Linked DNA regions of Caenorhabditis elegans. The protein of the gene in region 2 purifies or fractionates together with the protein of the main gene of each other region. This does not show direct contact. Each region holds a gene or a part of one and is shown on either strand. Other genes may lie near its edges.

Region 1 (4,873 bases), on a different chromosome or scaffold from region 2:
CAGCTAGACCACTCGATACTGTCTTATTCTTCTTCTTCTTTCCACTTCAAAATTCTCCAAGTTTATTGTTCTTATTTTTTATTCCCAATTTCAAAAGGATCCGAAGTTTTGATAGATTTTCAATTTATTTTGAACACAAAACCCTGAATTCACGTGGTATCAGGTTGCCCCATCGCTCCACTGCACGCGAAATAGCGGGAAAATATTTTTGAAAACTTGTGACGTCACACCGCATTTCGATTAATTGTTTATAAATTTAAGCGTCGATTTCTGTGACTTTTTTTCATAATTTTTCAAAAATTGTATTTTGTTGTATTTTGCTTCAATTTCTCCACTTAACTTGCTAATTTTTCCGAATTTCGGTGAAATATCAATTTTATAAATTATAAGAAAAAAATTTAATGAAAATCGACTCTTAAATTGCAAACAAAAAATTAATCGAAATGCGCTGTGACGTCACAAATTTTCAAAAAATCGTTTCCCGCCTTTTGTGTGCAGTGGAGCGATGGGACAGCCTGACACCACGTGTGGATTCTCCCACTCTAAGAATCTGTAAATTTGAGGAAAGTCACATCCAAATTATAAAATAATTTACTGAAAATTGAGAGGCGCAAAACAAACAAAAAGAAACAATAATTTGACGAAAAAAGACCCAGAAAAAATGGAGAAAAACGGGGGGTACAAGTTATGAGGCTAGAAGAAAACGATATAAAATTAATAATCAGCAATATCCTGTGAATGATAATAATCTTCCTTGAGACGATTCACATGAGACGGAATAACGCATGAAGTATTCGAGACAAAAAGGGTAACCAAATCAGATTGAAGACAATCAAATGCCGGATGAAGACAGTCTACAAGGCCTGCTGATTTGGCTGATAGATCGAATGGAAGGGAATTCGAGCGGAATGTGTGCAGGGAATCCGGATTTGTCATGAAGAATGGACACAGTTTGTAGAATGGAGCGAGCACGTAGACTGAAAAAATTGGAAAATTATTATTTTCCATTTTTTTCGTTCATAATACTCAAAATAGTCTCAAAGTTAGGAAAAAAAAAGAAAATCGAAAAAAATAAGTGATTTTTCAATTTTTGTTGAATTCCTTCCAAAATGAGAATGCTTTTTTTTTAATGGCCAGAATATGCACAGAAAATTTAAAATTTCTAAAACTCGATTTTTTTAGAAATTTAAATTGTTTTAAAAAAATTTTAAAATTTAAATTTTAAAATTTTTTTTAATTTAAAATTTTCTTTAATTTTTTTGAAATTGTTTATTTTATTTTAGAAATTTAAATTTTTTCTTTGAACTTTTTTTTTTAATTTTTTGAAATTTAAAATTTAAATTTTTTCTTTAAATTTTATTTTTTTCTAGAAATTTAAATTTTCTTTAATTTTTTAAAATTTAAATTTAAATTTAAATTTTATTTTTTATTTTTTAATTTAAATTTAATTTTTGTTGAAAAATGCCACTAATAGTTTCGAAAAAATTATAAAATTTAAGTTGAAAATTGATTTCTAGCTGATTTTCTCGAAAAATTCGCTTTATTAAATTTTTTCCGTTGATTTTTTTTTTCGGAAAAAAGGTAATTTTAAGCACTTTTTGAATAGAAAAGTCTTCAGAAAACGATTTTAAATTTTTTTTAGAAAAAAAAACTGATTTTTAACCGATTTTTTAGTCCTTTTTTAGAAAAACGGGCATTTTAAGCACCTGGAACACAATGCCTCTTGGCAAGAAGTGCAATTTGATGTCCACCAGCAGGTACAAGACATGATCCATCAGGGAAATAAGCAGCAGCGACTAGAACAACTTTCGAGGCTTCAGGCATCTTCGAGGCGACTTCATAGAGCTCAATTGCAGTTGCAAAGTCAGGAGTTGATTCAATATGTTCTTCTTCATCAACTACATCAATTACACGATGTTTTCGGCCTGATTTGACGGCATGTGATAGGAAATTGTGCATTGTTTGAGATGAACGAAGTGAATGAACTAGTACAACATCATTATTGAATAAAAGTTCCGTTGATTGAGATGCAATACATTCACGAGATGATTCGATTTCCGTTACTAGCTGAAAATGAAAAAATTGCATTAAAAATGTGTAGTTTTTGAATAAAAATTATAATTTTCCCTTTTTTTTGATATTAATATCATCGAAATCTACATTTTTTATGAGAAAAATTAGTTGAAAATTCTAAATTTTAAAAAAAAAAATCGATTTTTTTGAGCAGAAATTTTCATTTTTTAGCGACTTTTTTCTGGTTTCCAGTTCCCAGCATTACCTCCTTAATGGAAGCCTGAAGATCTTTTTTAATCTTCTTCATATCAGCTGTTTTCAGCTTTTTAATCGTCTCATCGTCATCTCTCCACAGCGTATACAGTGGCTCCGGCTCTCCGCCGCCTTTCTTCTGAAGAACTTCGTCTCGAGCCAATTTCGTGATCATTAAGCCGATATTAATAATAATGAGCTCCGATCGCTCGGCTCCGTGAAGCTTTTTGCAGTGATTTGCCAACGAAACTTGCAAATCGTTCATTGTCTTTGGATTTTCGCGGAAAATGATTTTTCTGATCAAATTCACTGTCGCAATTGCTATGGAGGAAGAGGAATCACGTGGAAATCTGGAAAATGAAGGAATAATTGAGTTTTTTCATCAGAAAACTCACTTTTTTCGTAAAGCAAAAATAAATGCTCGCTTCAGGTCTTCAATTTCATTGTCCGAGCTCATTTTGAATCTGTACGGGTTTAAATTTTATTTCTAATGTTTAAAATAAAAGAAATAAATTGAAAAAAAAGCAAGTTTTAACTTTAAAAATACACTTTTTGCCAAAAAAATGCAAAAATGTGTTGAAATTATCCTAATGCAAACGCGCTCCACGACTAACTTTCTCCAGTGTACTTCTCTCGAATCAATTTTTGTACTCCTCGTGGACATTCTTTATTTTAAATTTTTATCCATTTCTCTGTAGATTTTACAGTAATTCTTCCAAGATTTTTTTGTGAACAATGAATAGAAAACGCTCAAAAGAAGACGTGGGTGGGTTTAATGGTTAGTAAAACTTGTGAAAGCTTCGAAAAATCGATAAAATACCAGAAAATGCTTCAGATCTCCCAGCAAAGCGTCCTGGAACCAGTCAAAACTCGATACGTGCGGCACTTGAAGAGAAATTAGAAAGATCTCCGATAGGTGATTCAATTTTTAAATTTTTACTTGAGAAAGTAGAAAAATAATAATTTTTTTCATTTCAGAAGACCTAGAATTACAACTGGAACAGCCTGAAATTAATGTGGAAGAGGTCGGAAGAATCATTGCCGATGGAATAATTGAAAAAACACTGGATGACGAAAAACTGAAGGAGCTAACACTAAAATTCGCAAAAAATGTGCCAACTATGGCGAATATTAGCATTTGGAATCTGTCCGAAGAGCTGAGCACTGGAACAATTGATAGTAGACTTGTAGTCATTGGAAATGCATTTCTGGTACGAAATTCCAAGAAATTATCTGAATTTTCACCTAAAAAACAAAAAAAACTGGTTTTTTTTCAGTGGAATTTGCTCAAAACTTCAATGTCAAGCATTCGCGAGAAATTTGAAAATTATAAATTCAAAATTCACACAATGAGTGCCACGTCATCATCTCTACAGTCCATAGACTTCTCATCTTCACGTATCCGAGCCGGCGAGCATTGTATCCAGGAAACTGAGATTTTCCGGAAAATGGATCTTTTAGAAATCTATAATTCTGTGGTTTTTCGAAAAAGTGGAGATTTGAACGGGAAAAGCAAGCAGATTATCAAGAATTACTTTGCTGTGGTTGGAAAAATCAAAAATGCATTAAAAAAAAAAAAATGTTTAAAAAGTCGATTTTTTCCAGGCATGCCAGCCAAAATGCGCAATTTGGCACTACAGCCTCAGACAAAGCGGTACTTCGCACAAAAAATGGCTTCAGGACATTCCACCGCATGTTGTGCACACTTTGCTCCGTAAGAGCTCAGAAAAAAGCTCAAAAACCTCGAATTTCATTGGGAAAAACGCTCAAAAAATTCGAAAAAACGTCTAAATTTAGCGAAAATCTCAGATTCTGATTTTTTAAGAAGGCTAAGGCTTAGGCTAGACTTAGACTTTAGGCTCAGGCTTATCCCTAGGCTTAGGCTTAGGCTTTCGGCTTCTTCTTCTTCTTCTTTCTTAAAGAGAGGAAAAAAATCCCAGAAACTTCAATAATTCAGAAAAAAGAAAAAATACGGCGAAAAATGAGACAAGCCGGACAAAAAAAACAATTATGAATTTTTCTGAATTTTGTTAATTTTTGTAGTACATTACCACTTTTTTACTTAAAAAGTGCCAAAAATGTGCAAAATTTAGCTGAAATTAGGCATTTTTTGTAATTTTTCCGTCAAAAAATGTCCAAAAATCACCAATTTTGCTCTTTTTCAGGTCCATGTTTCGTATTTTTTTCAACTTTCAACCGGAAAAGTGCAAGAAATCAGTTTTCAATCGCTGAAACAATGAAAAATTGCAGATTTTAGCTGGAATTTGGCGAAATTTTAAGATTTTTGAGCTATTTTCTCCTTCTTTAAATCCAAAATCCACTAAAAATCTATTTTCCAGATTTCCTGATCTGCCTGGCCGGACTTGGAGCCCCGGAGCTCGACCAAACTTTCGAAGAAGCTACCGATTCTAGCGAGTAAGCCTGAAACCTGAAACCAGTTAAAAATTAATTGTCAATTTTTTTCCAGCTACGTGGAGTCTCTTGGCGACACAAATGGAGCCCGTGAGGTGGCATTTGAGACTCTAAAGTCGACCCGTGAACAACTTTGCTCGAAATTCCGACAATGTGTGACTGATGCTTTGTAGGACCCCCGATTTCTTCCTAAATT
Region 2 (4,301 bases):
ATCTACTCCATTCTCCTGGGTTTGAGCGATTTTCTAGAAAATTTATATTTATATAGTTTGAAAATTTAAAAACATTTGTTTGTTCACAAAATCATGTCATACTTAGCTTAAAGTTAAAAATATTTAGACCTTGTCATCTAATTCAAATAGCCATTTTAAAATTTTAAAAACTTTCAGTATCTGAATTCCAAATTGAAAAGGTTATACCTCGATAATGTATTCTTCATTGTTCGTACGAGTTTCGAAGAATCCCTGGCTGACAAACGATGGAAATATTGATTTTTCTTGATAATCAATTGATTTTCCAAAACATTCCGCTAAGAGCAACCCGAATGTTACAAAGGTGACAATCACCACCGAAACGAGAAGTTTATTGTATTTCAATTTCATTGTTCCATTATTATCTGTTAGTAAAATAATATCGTAAATAAAAATATTACTCAAAATAATTTGTAGGGTTAGAGAACCTATCATTGGAGTGAAAGATAGAGGAAAACGAAAATTTCAAAAAAACTTAATCTTCAATAAATTTATCAGAAAACAAAAATAAAACAACCGCGTAAAAAAAAGAGAAAACACAAAAAGGCTCCAATTATTCCTAAAATTCCAAGATTGTTAATCATCGGTCCATTCTTCGTCTTCTCCATCTTCTACTACCTCGTTTTGAACTTTGCCTGAAAATCGTTGATTTATAAAGAAACACGAGAAATTAAAAAAAAAACAACACTAATGAAAACAACTAACCTTTAGCAGGTACCTTCTGATCCTTAGCAACAATGCAATTGGTGACGTCAGCATTCTCTCCGATTTCTACTCCATCACAAATAATAGAGTTGCTTATGGAGGCACTGGAATGGAAAAGTATAAATTCAAGTTTTAATTCAAGAAATCAGTAATTGTGATAACAGAAGAATTCTTAAATCGAAAGTTTTCATATGTTTGTCTATTTATTAAGAAAATATCTTTTCCGAAAGCTCATCCGAAACTTCTCGCGCTACGAAAATCCCAAAACTAACCCATTTCCAATGACAACGCCTTTGGCAATGATACTCTCTTTTAGCTTTGTTTTTTCACCAATCCGACAATTATCCGAGATGAAAGACCGTTTGATAACTGAATCCTTGTCAATCTGAATGGAAATGTTCCCTAACTATTTTTGAACAAGTATTACCTCTGCGCTTTCTTCGATCCGACTCTCGTGGGCAGCAATTTTATCAGTTTTGTAGTTGAAATTCTTCCCATTTCCGCGATATTCCATCAATCGAGTAAAAGATTTTTGAATCTAAAAAAACAATTTAAAGGCTATATGATAATGCATTATTAGCACTTACAGCTTTATTCACTTCGAAATAAGAGCCAAGAGTATTCGCATGTGCAGTTACAAATCCATTTTCATGAGGAAGACGATATGCAAAGCATTTGATATCAGAATCCGGTTCAAATTGTTTATCAATCAGAAGAGGCACAAAATCGGCTTTGAATGATGAAATGTGTCTAGAAATTATACATTTAGAGTAAAACACATTCAAAGAAACACTTACTTTGATTTTGACAGATTAAGAAGAACTTTATGACGTATAGCATAAACATGACAATCATTGTACTTTGAAGTTAATTTGATCGATGGGAATATTTTCAAACTTTTCTCCATAACCAATGGAGCATCAAAATCATCATCTCCGCAAAGGAATGCAAGTTGACCTGTCGATTCTACTATTGCCATTACATCGGTGGCTGTAAATTAATATTTTGATAAATTAGAGGAAGGTTGAAATAAATAATACCTTTAGGTTTTTTCGATTTTGATCCCGGAGCCGGAGCATTGACACACGTATCTGCAATAAGAGCGACAAGCGTGGAATTTGTAGCTCGGAAGAAATCAACAAGTGGAATGAGACTGGCATCGCTGATAAAATCACAGGAAACAATCAATGCATCTTTCTGTAAAAATTAGAATTATTAAGGTAACTTCTTTTTCAGCTGATTGACTTACCGTAATTTTAGAATGATGATTCTTCAATAGATCCGCGGTTCCAAAATCCTCTTGATTGACACAAATATATTCAATATGTGCTGGATACTTTTCTAATAGCTTCGACTTTTTTACTTCTTTTTCGAGAGTTAGTTGAAGAACTTCACGAACAAATATCTTGATATCTTAAAAGTTTAATTACTCAATCATATTTAACGATAAAAAATCAATGTTACCAGTAATTCCTGTTCTTAGAAGCGAGGAAAGTGGATAAAGGAACATTGGCACTCCGACAACAGGCAGTAGGCATTTTTGAACATGGCGTGTAAGGACAGGCATGCGTGTGCCACCTCCAGAACACAAAAGTATCCCTTGCATTTCGTGCATTTTTATCTGAAATTGTTATTTGAACGAAAAAAATATGTTTAAAATGTTAGGAAAAAAAAGAGAAAGCTTGCAACTCTGCTGGAATTGTTTTTTTGTTTAAAAAATAACTGTTGTATATTTACGGGCTAAACAACACGCGCATGCGTTATTACGGAGTGTCGTTAGCCAGATTTGTTGTATACTGTCGTTAGCAAGATTTGTTGTATATTATAAATTCTGCAGAATTCTGGAGGAAAGAAACGATAAGATGTGTATTTAGATCGGAAAGGAATTTATTTGAAGAAATATTGTTTATTAGAATGACAAATCGTAATTGAGTATCAATTAATTGAGCTCATTCTATTGTTTCTTTGGTCTCGACACGATTCCCGTGGTATCGACAAGTACAGTAGTGTTCTGTAAATATTAAAATGAAGAATGAAGTCAAGGGTGTTTTAAAATGAACCTCGTTGATGTTCAAAGAAGAACAAGAAGATCGGATTGTATCTTTTGTCACATCGAGTTTCGACTTCTTATTGTCATCAATGCGATAGTATCCGTAGATCTAAAAAATATAACTGGACGCTTGGAATCAGTGGGTCAACGTACTTTGTCGGTGGGTAGAATTTTCAGAACACGACGAGTTTCCCTGACCAGGTCTCCGAGCGTTCCTTCCCTAACGAACTCCATTGGCATTCCTCCATCGTCGTCATCACACTGGCCAATCTAAAATTTCCTTCCCTATTTTCAGATTCACTAAACTTTAATATTTTTCAGGGCCGCGCGCACGCAGCCCCGATACGCAAAAATTAAGCTGTTGGCGAATCTCAACTCGAGACTGCCACACAGGTCAGCCCGCCCAAAAGTGCAATGGGTAGGCCTCACCATGGGGATCCCGTCTTCATGATCACGAGATACCCCCAGCCAGGTAAGTTTATGAGCTATAGTGAAGGGGGGCCTATGCTTATTTGTGTTCGGACATCTCGCGGGTTTCGCAGCTGCCCATCTTTCTCGTGCAAGTAGGCGGGGTTGTGGCAGAGAACGAGACGACCACCCTAGTAAATACGAGAAATATATTTACTTGCCTTGAGTGAAAACTTTTGACCATTCATTGTGTTTAGATCTCCATGGATTATGTTCTGAAAAATTGTAACTTTGTCTAAATTAATTCCCCTATAACCACGATGCGAGATTTTTGCGCTAAAGTATAGTACCCGGTCTTGACACGACAAGTTTCTGTGGATACTGTAATTTCAAACTTCTGTTTTTGCGGAGTTTTTAATTGATTTATTGATTCCATAGTTTTCTCTCACTATTCGTTAAAATTTATGTGTTTTAATTAATATCATATTTGTTTTTTAAAATAACATTAATACCGTTATCAAAAAACTATGACAAAGACGTCTTTAAAGACCGGTAAGAAAAATAATTCGAAAGTTTAAGACTACAGTACTCTTCAAAAACGCACGGCTTTTTCCATTAACGGAAAAGCCATTCTACAAAATTCATCGTGCCAAGACCGTGCACCGTATGTTTGGCGCAAAATTTCTCGTCCAGCTCCAGTACACCTACCGTTACAATGTCATCCTTCAAAGTTTGCATCGAAAATTTTGCCTGAAGAGTGAACTTGGAGAAAAACGCCTTCTTCTCTGGAAACTGAGCATCCAACGCCAAAACGCTTTCACATCGATACGGAATTGCACATGTTTTAACAGGACAAGCCGGTGACTTTCCATTTTTCTCACATTCGTCAAGCATTGATCCGATGCATTTAATACATACATCATGGTCACACTCCAATTCAGAAGGGAAGTTTCGAAGAACTTCACCCTCACAGTGTAGTGATCCCATACATGGTTGTCGGGTCTGAACTAATTGACGTGTGTAATTAAATGAGCCGAAAAACTATACCGCATCTGCCGACTTTCTCCTTTTCGCTGACTCTTTGTTGACACACTTGCCG

Evidence for each region.
Region 1: the proteins of eif-2Bgamma (region 2) and eif-2Bbeta fractionate together in Caenorhabditis elegans (co-fractionation; one large-scale study listed by BioGRID). This does not show direct contact.

What each region holds. Positions count from the first base shown.
Region 1 is NC_003279.8:11,890,999-11,895,871, forward strand, and holds eif-2Bbeta (Translation initiation factor eIF2B subunit beta), read right to left. Parts: upstream 2,730-4,873; 5' UTR 2,723-2,729; coding exon 2,661-2,722; intron 2,616-2,660; coding exon 2,279-2,615; intron 2,068-2,278; coding exon 1,707-2,067; intron 978-1,706; coding exon 715-977; 3' UTR 578-714; downstream 1-577. Other genes in the region: Y47H9C.8 (NACHT_N domain-containing protein), read left to right, coding at 3,001-3,043, 3,101-3,181, 3,244-3,476, 3,543-3,809, 3,871-3,979, 4,605-4,680, 4,733-4,846.
Region 2 is NC_003280.10:6,965,284-6,969,584, forward strand, and holds eif-2Bgamma (Translation initiation factor eIF2B subunit gamma), read right to left. Parts: upstream 2,366-4,301; 5' UTR 2,360-2,365; coding exon 2,209-2,359; intron 2,158-2,208; coding exon 1,994-2,157; intron 1,942-1,993; coding exon 1,785-1,941; intron 1,735-1,784; coding exon 1,542-1,734; intron 1,495-1,541; coding exon 1,332-1,494; intron 1,283-1,331; coding exon 1,172-1,282; intron 1,130-1,171; coding exon 1,017-1,129; intron 849-1,016; coding exon 745-848; intron 675-744; coding exon 616-674; 3' UTR 517-615; downstream 1-516. Other genes in the region: tra-2 (Sex-determining transformer protein 2), read right to left, coding at 1-33, 208-390; C15F1.5 (RING-type domain-containing protein), read right to left, coding at 2,699-2,755, 2,805-2,903, 2,948-3,064, 3,424-3,477, 3,911-4,204, 4,250-4,301. UniProt on the Caenorhabditis elegans protein: Acts as a component of the translation initiation factor 2B (eIF2B) complex, which catalyzes the exchange of GDP for GTP on the eukaryotic initiation factor 2 (eIF2) complex gamma subunit.